Neodiprion lecontei: one gene and its partner. The protein of the gene in region 2 interacts with the protein of the main gene of each other region in a pairwise test. Links are inferred from orthologs where the notes say so. Each region holds a gene or a part of one and is shown on either strand. Other genes may lie near its edges.

What was found.
Region 1: the proteins of cyclin-T (region 2) and cyclin-dependent kinase 9 interact in a two-hybrid assay, tested with the Drosophila melanogaster proteins (2 studies listed by BioGRID). The link is inferred for Neodiprion lecontei from reciprocal best matches to the Drosophila melanogaster genes CycT and Cdk9.

What each region holds. Positions count from the first base shown.
Region 1 is NC_060261.1:1,240,462-1,247,052, reverse strand, and holds cyclin-dependent kinase 9, read right to left. Parts: upstream 3,572-6,591; 5' UTR 3,425-3,571; coding exon 3,318-3,424; intron 3,241-3,317; coding exon 3,156-3,240; intron 2,908-3,155; coding exon 2,817-2,907; intron 2,736-2,816; coding exon 2,569-2,735; intron 2,489-2,568; coding exon 2,247-2,488; intron 2,147-2,246; coding exon 1,999-2,146; intron 1,895-1,998; coding exon 1,586-1,894; 3' UTR 1,336-1,585; downstream 1-1,335.
Region 2 is NC_060264.1:32,077,443-32,084,340, reverse strand, and holds the start of cyclin-T, read right to left. Parts: upstream 3,653-6,898; 5' UTR 3,520-3,652; intron 3,392-3,519; exon of another isoform or gene 3,194-3,391; intron 3,086-3,193; 5' UTR 2,876-3,085; coding exon 2,730-2,875; intron 1,539-2,729; coding exon 1,328-1,538; intron 1,250-1,327; coding exon 1,126-1,249; intron 1,030-1,125; coding exon 984-1,029; intron 655-983; exon of another isoform or gene 528-654; intron 14-527; coding exon 1-13. Other genes in the region: KAT8 regulatory NSL complex subunit 2, read left to right, coding at 4,570-4,579, 4,735-4,981, 5,103-5,284, 5,391-5,559, 6,807-6,898. UniProt on the Drosophila melanogaster protein: Regulatory subunit of the cyclin-dependent kinase pair (CDK9/cyclin T) complex, also called positive transcription elongation factor B (P-TEFb), which is proposed to facilitate the transition from abortive to production elongation by phosphorylating the CTD (carboxy-terminal domain) of the large subunit of RNA polymerase II (RNAP II).

The DNA of each region.
Region 1 (6,591 bases), on a different chromosome or scaffold from region 2:
TGAAACGAGATGGAGAATTTTTTTCCTCATTGTCATCAATTTTTCTTCTTCAATTTTTTATCGAAGCACGAAGCATGTAGAATATAATAGTAATACGGTATATGAGTATTAAAGAGTGTAAAGAGAAAAAAAAGAAAAAAAGAAAAAAAGCGATAGAGAGAGAGAGAGAGAGAGAGAGAGTCAGCTAAAATGTACATATTAATATGTAGGATTCATACTTACCCATATTTGCAACTACATTTATAAGTATTGTCCAACGCTAGACGACCTATAATTGCAAGCTATCTTTAATATGTAACAGGGACAATGGAATATTACATGCAGATTGAAACGATCGTTACGTTATTATGTATCGAGTTCGGTTATCTGAGTAAACAATTGATCAATTAATAACAGCACGATTAGAGCGAGGCTGTTCTATTAACGACCAGACGTAGTTCCTTGCGTAGTGCCAATCACGAGAATACAGTTATAGCCAATCTGTACTAACACAAAGTCACACGGCTTGCGCGAAATAGATCGTACAGAAAGTGATATCTTAAATCTATATAATCTTGGATACAATTACGTACCGCGCGATCCTATTCGGTAAATAAGGGTACATTATTCCGTTATTCCGAGATAGGATTTAATGAAACGAACCGTTTTTGTAGTATCTTTTGATCTATATTCAAACGATGAACCAATTACCTCCCAGCGCCACACAGCTTAGCCATGTCGATTGATTAGATCTAATGCTCGTACTTTATCTTTCTCAATTGTACTACCCTTGCATTGCATTTCAAAACTATAATACTATACAAGTCATTCAACATCTCTAATAACTAATGTGTATTTTTAGTAATATATATTCTTATGATGTTGAAAATAGCATTTTGAGATCAGCGTCAGATTTTTTTCATTTTTTTTTCAATGTTGTATCTTTTTAATTGTAATTTTTCCTGAGTCCTACAATGCCTAATTTTATAATAGTTAACTAGCTACTATTTGATATATTAAAATGTTTGATAATATACATGAACCTAGCCACCAACACCTCTTATTGCAGAATATAGATGAAAACTGCGCAGAATCGCTTCCTGTTCGATTATATTTATAAGGAGTGCAATAAACAATAAATTTATATACACTGTCGTGTTCACTTGTTCTGGAATAAATAAAGTTCGTATCTTCGAACAATGTAATACATAACCAACATCATCTCATCAAATAACATATTTTGCTACTTTCCACGGAACGGACGATTCAAATCGTAAATAAAAGTGTATTAAAAAATCGGCGGCAAGTCGAAGCATATAAGTGGAGGACAGAGGAGATTGAATGAGTGTAATTTAATTGATATAGAAAATGTATATTTGAGTATATTATTACACGTGTTAAATTAAAAAAAATTACAATATATGTATAACAGTCTAATGTACACGAACTGGGCCAGATAAATCGCTACTGGTCCAACACTCTTGAAATGCAATCGCACGTTTCAGTCATACAGCAACGCTTTTTGAAAAGCGTTAGATAAATTCTATCTAACTATATCTAGGTATAATGTATTTGTGTAGCAGTGTCTGTTGCGTCTATGTACATTCTAGAATACGCGATCCTGATAACCACTGTCCGCCATACTCGAACTTGGTTTGGCAGGACCTCCAGGAACTGGGTGATGCGGGTGACGCATGTGACCCGGTCGTCGGGGCGGTGCTAAATACTCGAACATACTTTGAGTGTGCTGCGCCAACATTTTGCTGAGATCACAGGGCATTGGGTCGGTCCAGAAAAAGTCGTGATTCAGTGCCGAATCGGAGTCATACCTTTTGCTGGGATCGAGAATTAATAGTTTGTCTAAAAGGTCACAAGCAAAGGGGTCCTTGACATACGGCTTTAGTCTCTCCTTCACCTAGTACACATGAATTTGTCATTTATTGATTCAAGTGCAATTCTTCTTACAATGAAATTCGATTGATAAATTAATGTTTTAATTTTCTTATAAAATTCATGTACCTTTCTTTTTTGTCCTTTGGGCAATTCCATCTTGTTAAATAACTCTAAATTTTCTACACCGGGCCATACTTCGGTGGTCACAGATCCACATAGTTGAGAAATTAGCGTGAGCTGTTGTTGTTCAGTGTTTCCTTGCATAATGGGTGATCTGGATTTGATAAAAGTTTGACAATATGAATGCACTTCCATTAAAAATAAACTGGAAGCAGCCATAGCAAAAAACTTAATTCAAATCTTAAATCGTTTACCTAGTCCACATTTCCGCCATAATACAGCCCGCCCCCCATAGATCTACTGGTGGACCGTAATTTCTGTCTCCCAGTAACAGCTCTGGTGGCCTGTACCAGAGGGTGACAACACGGTTTGTGTACCGATTTACTTGACCGTTTTTATTGGCACTGAAAGCTCGCGCCAGTCCAAAATCTGCGAGTTTCAATATACCGTTTTTTGTTATAAGAACATTGGCAGCCTTCATATCTCGGTGTAAGATCTGTGAATGTAAAAAACGTAATTAGGAGTTTCGGCAGATATAAATGATTTTCAGAGAAACATTAGTTGAATCTAACTTACCTTGTTACTATGAATGTAGTATAGGCCATTGAGTAGTTGTTGCATGACTTTCTTTATTTCACCCAAGCTGAATTTGACGTTTACATTAGATAATAGACCTGCTAGATCATGTTCGCAGAAATCGAACACCAGGTAGAACGTCGATCGATAACGGTTGTATTGAGCCGCTATAACAACAAATCATAGCGCGGCGCTGAGTATTCTGCAGTTTTCTCACAACCAATGCAATTCGATTCTGATGAACATACCTCGAGTTCTGCATATTTCAATTAAATTAACCACATTTTCGTGCTTCAGTAACTGCAATATCTTTATTTCTCTCAGTGCTGTAATGGGAAACTGCAATGATACCATATTAGGTAAATGGTTTTGGGGTTAGAATGGAATGATGCTTATGACTAACAGTCGCAGTACAATAACGCGGTACAGGGTGTTGAATCTAGGGCTTAGGCACACGATCTCAAGTGTAAGTTATTCCAATTGTTTACGGGAGTCATGCCGAGTAAAAAAGCAAATGTACGACTAAGAGAACAAGGTCGAAGCTACAAGATGAATAATGCGGCTTGACGAAAAATTCTGATAGTTACCCCTTCTTTCTCGTTGTCCATAAGAACTTTCTTCATTGCTACGAATTTTTTGTTACTGTTCTTTTCCTTTGCTTTAAACACTTCTCTGTGAAAAAGTAATCAAAGATTGTAACAAACATAACCTTGGAGTGGGAGTTGTTAACATATGAATTGATCACGTACCCGAAAGTACCCTGGCCGATTTTAGCAACTTTTTCATATTTCGTTGATTCATCGCAGTGCGGAAAATCGAATTCTTCAATGTACTTCTCCTTTTCCTTTGTATTCATGGCGCGATAAAATATTTCACTTACTTCAAAAACTCAGGTCATTACAGTCACTACGTTTGGGTAAACCACTGAAAGTAATATCCGACAGCTATCAGAACCACGGTTCTAAACGTTCTAAACCGTGATCAGAACGAACATGAACCGCTCCGTGGAGGCCTTAAAACATATACCAGTAGAGACGCTACCGCGCTTGGTTCCAAACCGCGGCCAGGGTGGATAACTCAGGGCCTCGCCGGCAGACTGCGCTGTCGTTTTAAACGGTACAGTCGACTAAATTATATTATTTGCGTTTGTTAAGAGAACATCAGAGTATGTACATGTATGTATTCTAACATGTATTCGCATTATTTTCAGATGGTTAATCTCCAGATTTCCACGAACTGTGGCTGTAAAACATTTTTCAAACATACAGGTATATTTTCTGGAATTACATGCTGAAATAGAAGCAAGAAATGATTGAAAAAATTAGCGATGTTGTCATCTAATTTTTTCAACAATTCCTATCCTCTTCCGCGCTTCATAACATTATCAGCGATTAAGATTTGTTCAGTGACGTGTCAATCGAACAAGTCATTATCCCTGCGGTATTCTAACGTTAGATTCAACGGTCATGGGTTATGTTATGTTTATTGAGATTGAGTTTGTTCGCGCTCGGCCGACTATGACGTTGTAGGTTTCTGTGCATTGTCAACATAACGGTCTAGTGTAAAAAATTAGCAGTCTCAGATTCTCATGAATAACCCAAGTACAATCCGTCATTGAGCCACTGCATATTTCTCCAGCTTCGATAAAAAAAAAACTCGATGAAAACACACAACACTCAACTGTTAAAATTGAAGTTACATACTTAAAATCTTCATGGGTATTAAATTGTATGTCTATTCAATTAGCGAAAAACCTAAGTGAAGAACATGTATTTTGCCCTTGTTTTTGTGGTAAAGATTACCACGGCAGTACATTACCACGTCATTACTTATGATGTATTGCAGGATACAGCAACCCACCAAATTGATCACAAGTACGATCAAACACGGCACGTGTATTCGCATTTGTTTCAAAAGTACAGACATACCGCTCGTCGCGCACTCCAGTGGCGGCCCGCTAAACTATATGCCATGGCTACACATTTGCCCAACAAATGAGTGTCTACTTTGTGGAAGCTGGCCCTCAATAATAAAAATAAGTGGTATAATATTATGTAGAATATATCATCATTAGTATTATGTATAAGTATACAATATTATGATTATGCTAACTAAACTTGGTAAAGTAGTATACATTGACACCTGAACACTTGTACTAGAAATAAAACACATTGAATAAACTGAAACTGAAACTTTGTAACGATGAGTTTGTGATTTTTCTATTCCACCTCTTTAATAACCCGGTGTCAATTTCATATTTTTCAGCCGTGAGTTGTGATCCGTTGCTCGCAGCGTATCGGGACTGCGCCCAGTCGATTTCTCTCGCAAAATTACGTCGGAATAGTGCACGAAAGACCTTATTCCAGCACTTTTCGAAATCGCGAAGATTTTCGCCAAAAATGCAAAGGGTTAGCCTTACTTTTTCTTCATTTTTGGAGCCGAAAATTTTTGGTCTCAGATACGATTTGTATGACCATTTCCTAACTAATTGGACCGCCAGGAACTCAGAAAACGCAGCGAAAAGAGCGTGGGATCAACAGGAGAGAAATTCCGAAGGAAAAAGCACCCGCTGAAAAACGTCGAAAACACAGGTTCTGGTTTTTTGGCTGTAACTTTTGATCTGTTGCTCGCAGCGTATCGGGACTGCGCCCAGTCGATTTCTCTCGCAAAATTACGTCGGAATAGTGCACGAAAGAATTTATTCCAGCACTTTTCAAAATCGCGAAGATTTTCGCCAAAAATGCAAAGGGGTTAGCCTTACTTTTTCTTCATTTTTGGAGCCGAAAATTTTTGGTCTCAGATTCGATTTGTATGACCTTCTCCTGACTAATTGGACCGCCAGGAACTCAGAAAAAGCAGCCAAAAGAGCGTGGGATCAACAGGAGAGAAATTACGAAGGAGAAAGCACCTGATGAAAAATGTCGAAAACACAGGTTCTCGTTTTTCGGCTCTAACTTTTTATCTGTTGCTCGCAGCGTATCGGGACTGCGCCCAATCGGTTTCTCTCGCAAAATTACGTCGGAATAGTGCACGAAAGAATTTATTCCAGCACTTTTCAAAATCGCGAAGATTTTCGCCAAAAATGCAAAGGGGTTAGCCTTACTTTTTCTTCATTTTTGGAGCCGAAAATTTTTGGTCTCAGATTCGATTTGTACGACCATTTCCTGCCTAATTGGACCGCCAGGAACTCAGAAACTGCAGCGAAAAGACCGTGGGATCAACAGGAGAGAAATTCCGAAGGAAAAAGCACCCGCTGAAAAACGTCGAAAACACAGGTTCTGGTTTTTTGGCTGTAACGTTTGATCTGTTGCTCGCAGCGTATCGGGACTGCGCCCAGTCGATTTCTCTCGCAAAATTACGTCGGAATGGTGCACGAAAGAATTTATTCCAGCACTTTTCAAAATCGCGAAGATTTTCGCCAAAAATGCAAAGGGGTTAGCCTTACTTTTTCTTCATTTTTGGAGCCGAAAATTTTTGGTCTCAGATACGATTTGTATGACCATTTCCTAACTAATTGGACCGCCAGGAACTCAGAAAACGCAGCGAAAAGAGCGTGGGATCAACAGGAGAGAAATTCCGAAGGAAAAAGCACCCGCTGAAAAACGTCGAAAACACAGGTTCTGGTTTTTTGGCTGTAACTTTTGATCTGTTGCTCGCAGCGTATCGGGACTGCGCCCAGTCGATTTCTCTCGCAAAATTACGTCGGAATAGTGCACGAAAGAATTTATTCCAGCACTTTTCAAAATCGCGAAGATTTTCGCCAAAAATGCAAAGGGGTTAGCCTTACTTTTTCTTCATTTTTGGAGCCGAAAATTTTTGGTCTCAGATTCGATTTGTACGACCATTTCCTGCCTAATTGGACCGCCAGGAACTCAGAAACTGCAGCGAAAAGACCGTGGGATCAACAGGAGAGAAATTCCGAAGGAAAAAGCACCCGCTGAAAAACGTCGAAAACACAGGTTCTGGTTTTTTGGCTGTAACTTTTGATCTGTTGCTCGCAGCGTATCGGGACTGCGCCCAGTC
Region 2 (6,898 bases):
GGTCAGGTGCAAACTGAAAGCAAAGGAAAACGTACGTTTTAGACAAATGGATTATAACTTGAGAGTAAATTCTTTGGAAATATTGCTCAACAGAAAACTTTAAGTTTTTTCTGCGATTCTACTGGGTGAATATGACGTAGAAGGATTGTCACTATATCAACTATTCTACGATTGATAAATTATAAAGAAGAAAAGAAAAAATGCAAACAGTCCAAATTAGGCACTTTGTCAGGACTTGATATTTGTCAGTCTTTCATGAGTCTAGACTGTTTAAGACTTGATTCTAACTGGACGTAGTGATAGCCGATGTGAAAAGATTGTTATACAGAGCAGGTTCGATTTTTCTAAGGCTTCTTTGGAAAAACCTACCGCTTCAAGGGTGAAAAGCTCGAAGCTCAAAGCGATTTTTGGATGGAATTATGTGCGGCGGACTGAAAACTAAATTTGAATGGATTCAAAAAGAGTTTGGTGGATGAACTGGGGTCGACAGTGTGTAATTATTTTTTAATTAAATTTTTTCAATTTACCTTCGACTTGTTTAATCCGCATCGTCAACTTAGCTTACGAAATTAGCGCGACCGGGCTTCGCTTTGGGCATAAGTGTTTCTTTAGAATCAGACATAAACGCGACCGCAACGCAACGTTCCTTCCCCAAATAATACTGTCGACATTGAAATTGAAATATGAATAGGTGTTAATGAGTGGAATTCTGAAATACGCGTTACCGTAGCACATGGTATTGACTAATTGATCAGTTGTAGCATCATTTCCAGTTGTAAATAATTCATCACTCATCGTTAATGATAAAGAATCAATATGAAATTAAAAAATTGTTTAAAAAATCAAATCTCCAATCGTTAATGAGCAATAAGACCAAGGTCAGAATGTTGCGCCGTTGAGCCGCCGCCCGAGAGGCCTTATTACGAAAAGATAATTTATATTCGTCTTATATCGAGGTAAAGTACGAATAAATCATTAGCCACCTGTTTGATGCCATGAAGTAGGAAGTCTGCGCCAAGTCCTTGCTCGCTGAAAATGATATTATAATAATTTAGAAAATGCTTTACAGGTTAATTATCACCTGCAAGTAATTAATCTGCAAAGTTTGTGGCAGTGAAAAGTTACCTTTGACTAACTGGCAGCACCTGACGACATGCGTATGCGGATGATCGATGGCAACATTGAACCCGAGGGTTTGGAGCAGCACGTTCTCATTGAAAACTAGATCTTGGGCCTGTTCGAGGTATTGCTGCAATAAGAAACGCAGTGTTTCAAAGTAGAGGTATTTACGTGGTCGGCAGATGATGGGAGGCGATCAAAGACTAACTTCTGACTTTGTGTCCAGCGCAGGCTGCTCCCTGTGGAGGCAGAAGTATGCGACCTTTATAACGACTTCCAATTTCCGCGGCTGCTCTTCTACCTTGGCAGCCAAAAATAGGGCTGCTGTTGCTATTGCGTTCCTGTGGAACTGCGCTAGCGAGTGAAACACGTAGAACCGATGCATGTAGACTATTGCTGTGTTTATGCATAGCTGCGATCTGTTTGTCGCAATCCCATATGCGAGTTGTTGAGTTAAGGAAAATCGTGTTTCAAGTACCATTGAACTTTTTACTTACTCTATGCAAAAAATATTAATTCCAATTGTGCAGAATATAAGGAGGTTGCTTATTTAAACTGCTACAAGACGCATAGCCATCAGACTGTGAGATGTGAAAAATGATCGTAAGTACTAAGGAACAACGACGAAGTTATAAGATAAAAAATTAAAGCACGAGAATGATCAAATATGTGGAAAGCAGGACTTTTGTAGGTAAAACTTTAACCTGGCTATGCGGTACTAAAGAATAAATACAATGGTAAGGGCAAGGAAACCTGTTGAAGCGCATCTATAATATTAAAACCTCGTCCTAGTTGCAAGTAATAAACATGAATAGTGGCTTGCAATGGAAAGAATACGACTTATTCGTTACACCGTTGCTAAAGCGTGCTGCACTTACATAACAAACGCAAACAAGGATTGACGGTTTTTATTAAAACAACAACCTTATGGAATAGGAAATCATAAAATAACTGTTGACAATTGGGATGGTTTCAAAATGATCTAATCATCGATGAAGATGTATGTAGTCCTAGAAAAATTGTTTTAAAAAACGTACAACCTTGATGAAAATTGAAAAACAAAAAACACTTTTCGCAGAGCAAATTACAGACTTTCTTGATTAGTTTAGCGAACAACGAAGTATTTTTACAGACCACATTTGAAAATAACAGCAGTCTTAGGTAACACGTGCGGCACAAAGATAGCTAGTTTGTAGTCAAAACAAAACAGAGAAGGTTAAAACGCAGAGAATAGATAAGTGGTAATAAACCATAAACTGGAATTCCGCAAGTGTTTGATCGCTGGTTCGATAAATTTAGACTATAGAACACGACAATCCCAGTGTTTACAAAGCTTTACCTTATTTTTACTCTGGCAGTGACTCGACTAGTCACGGATATGAACTCATTGAACTTTCCCAAGTGTTGACTCACACTAGTTTGGGACGCCAAACGCGCGGAGGGTCCAGGAAACGGGAAGACGATGACAAGGAAAATAGGAGAAATGAAGAAGGTTTTTGAATAACTAGGAAGCGACTCAATAGACGATGATATAAGGCGGCACGCTGGATTCGCGGAAATGTCGCGTGCGTCGTTTTAGATAGGTAAATGCGAAGGTTAAAAAAGGATACACAGAAAGCCGTTGTCCCATATCTTGTATAAAATTTGCTGCCTGCTGACGATAACTTAGCTCTTTATCTGCGTCGAAACCGCATCTTCTGCTCGGGGTTGTTGCTAATTGTTCCTTCGTAAAGTACCATTTTTCGTCAGCCGCCATTTATATGTACACTTCTGGCGTATACGCAGAAACCCAGGCTCGGCTTCGCACTTCACGTTGTTCAAGGTTCCCGAGGTTGCGATCACGGCCGCCACCCGCCAGGAGATAGCTTCACGTCACGGAAACCGGAAGTAAGCGAACCACAAGGATGGAGTTTCAAAACCGCGATTCCAAGATCGTCTCAGAGCACCATCGAAGAGCAATTCACACCTTCAAATTTAATCCCACATGTACATACTTCGTATATTCACCGAGGTGATGATCAATTTTCGACAAATTTTTCACAGCGCAATAATAAATGTGATTTTTGCCACTTACTCGCGCGTCATAGGATGCGTCTCGAAATTAACTGGCGGCGCTAAAAACTCTCTAGAACGGAGAGAGCTACTTACAAACTCTGCAGCGCAAAAGAGATAAAATATGGTTGACAGCGCCAGGAGCAAAATCGGAACGCAACCATGGTCATGTTTTCCCCGTTACTAGCGCCACGCGACTGTGGATTTTAGTGCCAAGTGACGCGGCAGCACACAATGAGTCAATTTTGCCGACGAGAGGCGTCGGTCTATGGCCGTTCGAATACTTTATGGACGAAGCTTCGGAGACGTAATTTGCTCCTGTATCGTATCGGAAGCACTTAACCTAACCTTGTTGTATTGGTCCTTTCCAACTCCTTAGAGATTGTTTATCTCCCGATCGAGGTCCTCGCAGTCTTCTTGGCCTGTTGTTAAACATCAACGATCGATCCCGTTATGTAACGGACCCTTAGTCGGCTGCGTGCTTTCGCGATTTGACGAGGGCGGAGGATTGTTGGTTAGGATGTCGTCTCCGGTGTGTCTGGCATGTTATTATTGTCGCATCGTTATCATCCGTGTGTATAAACTGTAGCAAGACTGTTCGACGGGCCGTTGCTGACCTTCGAGGAAAAGTTTTTCTTTCGCTGTAACTCCGTCAACAGTGTCGCAGCGGTGGGACCGTTCGTTGTGAGTATTTCAGCTTCACGCCGAGCCTTGCTCCTCGTAAAATCGAGTACCAACCGAGCCGAGTCCGTTCAATCGTCTCCGAATAACGATATCATTGTTTTAATGCTTTTTTCGGAAATTACATACTACATTCGACACGTTGTATGTACCGTACATACGTACGCAGCGAACCTTCTGCGCAGTGATCTCGACAGTAACAAAATGGCGACGGCAAAACCCGTTAATCGGATCCGTTGTCGACGCCTCTCGACCGCGTTACTTGACCCGAAAATTCCATCCGAAGTCGTCGAATTGACTTATACCATTTTATAAATCTGTTCATCACCTTAAAATTCTCCCCGCATTCTCAAATTCATCAATAACGTAAAATTATTTTAATACAGTATACATGCACATGCATTTAGTGTCATAATATCGATACATCGCCGCCATTATTATGCGATCGATATTAATGGCGGCAAGTTTGAATACGGATGAATAGCGCCTTGCGTCATTTGGTTTTTGGTAATCTTCAAGTAAAAATCAAACGCGCAATTCATTGTAAAAAATATCAAAACGAACGAATTGTGAAAAACGGGTGGCAATAGAGTTGAATATTGGTCAAAGGAATGCTTCCTCAAATGTAGAGAAACGTCAAAAATCGGAGAATTCATACTGATGGAGCTCGATTATTAGCAAGTTTAGCGCAATTGCACTCTTTCACCACTTCTCACAATGCCAAAAAGTATGTGTTTTGCCTAATTCCACCGAATCACAACATGGAACAAAAATTTCTCTGATCCAATTCAATTGAATTGAACTTAGTACTGAAGCCTCAATATTTTTTTTGTAGTCACCTGGTTTTTAAGGTTAATTTTTTATATTCACCGTTATTTCCAGAAGCAATGTTTCGTGTGCCAAACGCAACTGCAACCCGAATTGGACCTGGAAAGAGTTCATCTGAAAGTCAAAGTTGTTCTTACGGATCATACGAATGCAAACAACAGAGCCTTGCGGGCTACGCCTATTGCTCCAGACATATTTTAGAGGATAGTTCTGCACCTTACAAGCAATGCAGTTTTGTCTACAACAGTAATGGCCGTAAGTGCCAGAACCCGGCATTGAAAGGTGATCGAAGAGATCTTGCGTAAGTGGAGCAATGAATGTTTATTCAGTTTGAATTTATTTAAATTGAAATCAACTTCATACCTTGAAACGACGATGAATGGCTTCACAAGAGAAGTTCTGTACGGTCCTTCGCTTTTCAGGTACTGTTCAGATCATGCGAGAAGGGCACAGTTAGCTCGCATCAAGTCCACATCGCGGCATTCGCCACCGCAGACCCCGGAAACTCTGCTTCTTAATCTAAGCCACTATGTTAAGCCAACAGATTCTAGTGCGGAGGATACGGAGGAAGAAGAAGGAAAGGTGAAGGTTCTGGATCCTTTTGGTGAGGGCCCATCTTTTCTAGAGATATAACACCTTTAATTTTTTTTTAACATTATCGCTGCTTCAGCTTTTTCGTGGTTGTTCATTAGGTGTGTTCTATTTTTCAGCTGAAATTGATGCCTATAGAATAAATGCCAGTGGTTGTGATGTCCTTGACTACGCAAGCTCTTCGGATAGCGATGTCGAACCTGTAGTTGTCAGCGAAACTTTACGTGGTGCATTCCTCGACGATAGCGAAGACGAAAGCCTCCAAAGTTCGCAGGAGGACCCACTTAAGTATGTCGGATCTTTGACACTCTGCACAAGAACTCGGCTTGGATAATTCATTGTTTACACGTATACTGTCCTGCAACTCAAATATCGCAGCAATTGAAATTGGAATTATTGGCTCTGATGCAAGTATCTCACATGCAAATTATAAATTTGAGCTTCTCATTTCTATTCAAATTATTTGCAGGGATACGAAGTTTTCAATCTACTTTAAAGTTATGGATTCATGAAATGATCACAGAATTTTTTAGAATCATTTTTGAGAGCCTTAAACTATTCGGAAAATATTAGACATTCCGCGAATATAAAGGGTTCAAATTTCAGGTGCTTACGGCATTAAAGGGGAATGAATGTTCAAAATTCTATATTTTTATCTAAAAATGATGATTCGTCTGATCGTAAAATTTTGCATTTGACTATTGAGGGAACTTTCCAACAAATTGCCTGTAATCTATGTGAAATACCGTCATACGCTTTGAGAGTTGTTTAAAAATATGTACCTATTAAATAATGTGACCACATATTTTTAGAAGATTAATTATAAGTAAGGTTTGAATTTTATATTACGTATTGTAACGCTAGCTTGCTTTTGCTTGTGCATTACTAAATAAGGGGACTAAATACCAAAATAGTTACTTACCTTCATTTTTATTGTTCTAACTGGATGTTGATTTAACCCTGAGAGACAATCATAAGCTTAACATTTACCCAATGGTGGATTGCTCGTGATATCACAGAGCTGGGAAAACTGAAAGTCAAGAAAATACTCTGCATCTACAAATCTTTGCTGGGAAGAGAATTTTAGCATTTTTTTTATTTTCAATTATCCTCTTGCAGAGTTCTCTCATTGTTTTTAAGAAAACACCTACTTTTAGAAATTCCAGCATGAATTTGTTGCATGCTTCACTTACCGTGTATAGTAACTTTGACCTGCCAGACCAACAGGCTGAACCTTTGACATCATGGTCGTTGGCGGAAAATTATTTTTTCTTTCAGACTTCTTTCAGGTGACAGTGTGAGATGGAAACGCTTCAACTCTGGAATAGGAGGAAAAAGAATTTAATGATTTGTAGCGATATCTAGTCCCCTTTAGATATTTTTACAAACTCCACAAACGAACAGTGATCAACTTTTCTTCCACGATAATTTTATTTCCATTTCGAGTATTTGCCCAATGAGGTACCCTAAATCTTCTTTTCTGTAGTAGCTGCTTCCAGCGTGACAGAGACACTTTTTATCTATTGAATCATTAGTATTAATTTTTTAAGGCACGCCGGAATCTTCACCGCCGAAGAGGTGATATACATAGCAAGGGAAAAGCTCATCAGGCTCCAATCGCTCTACA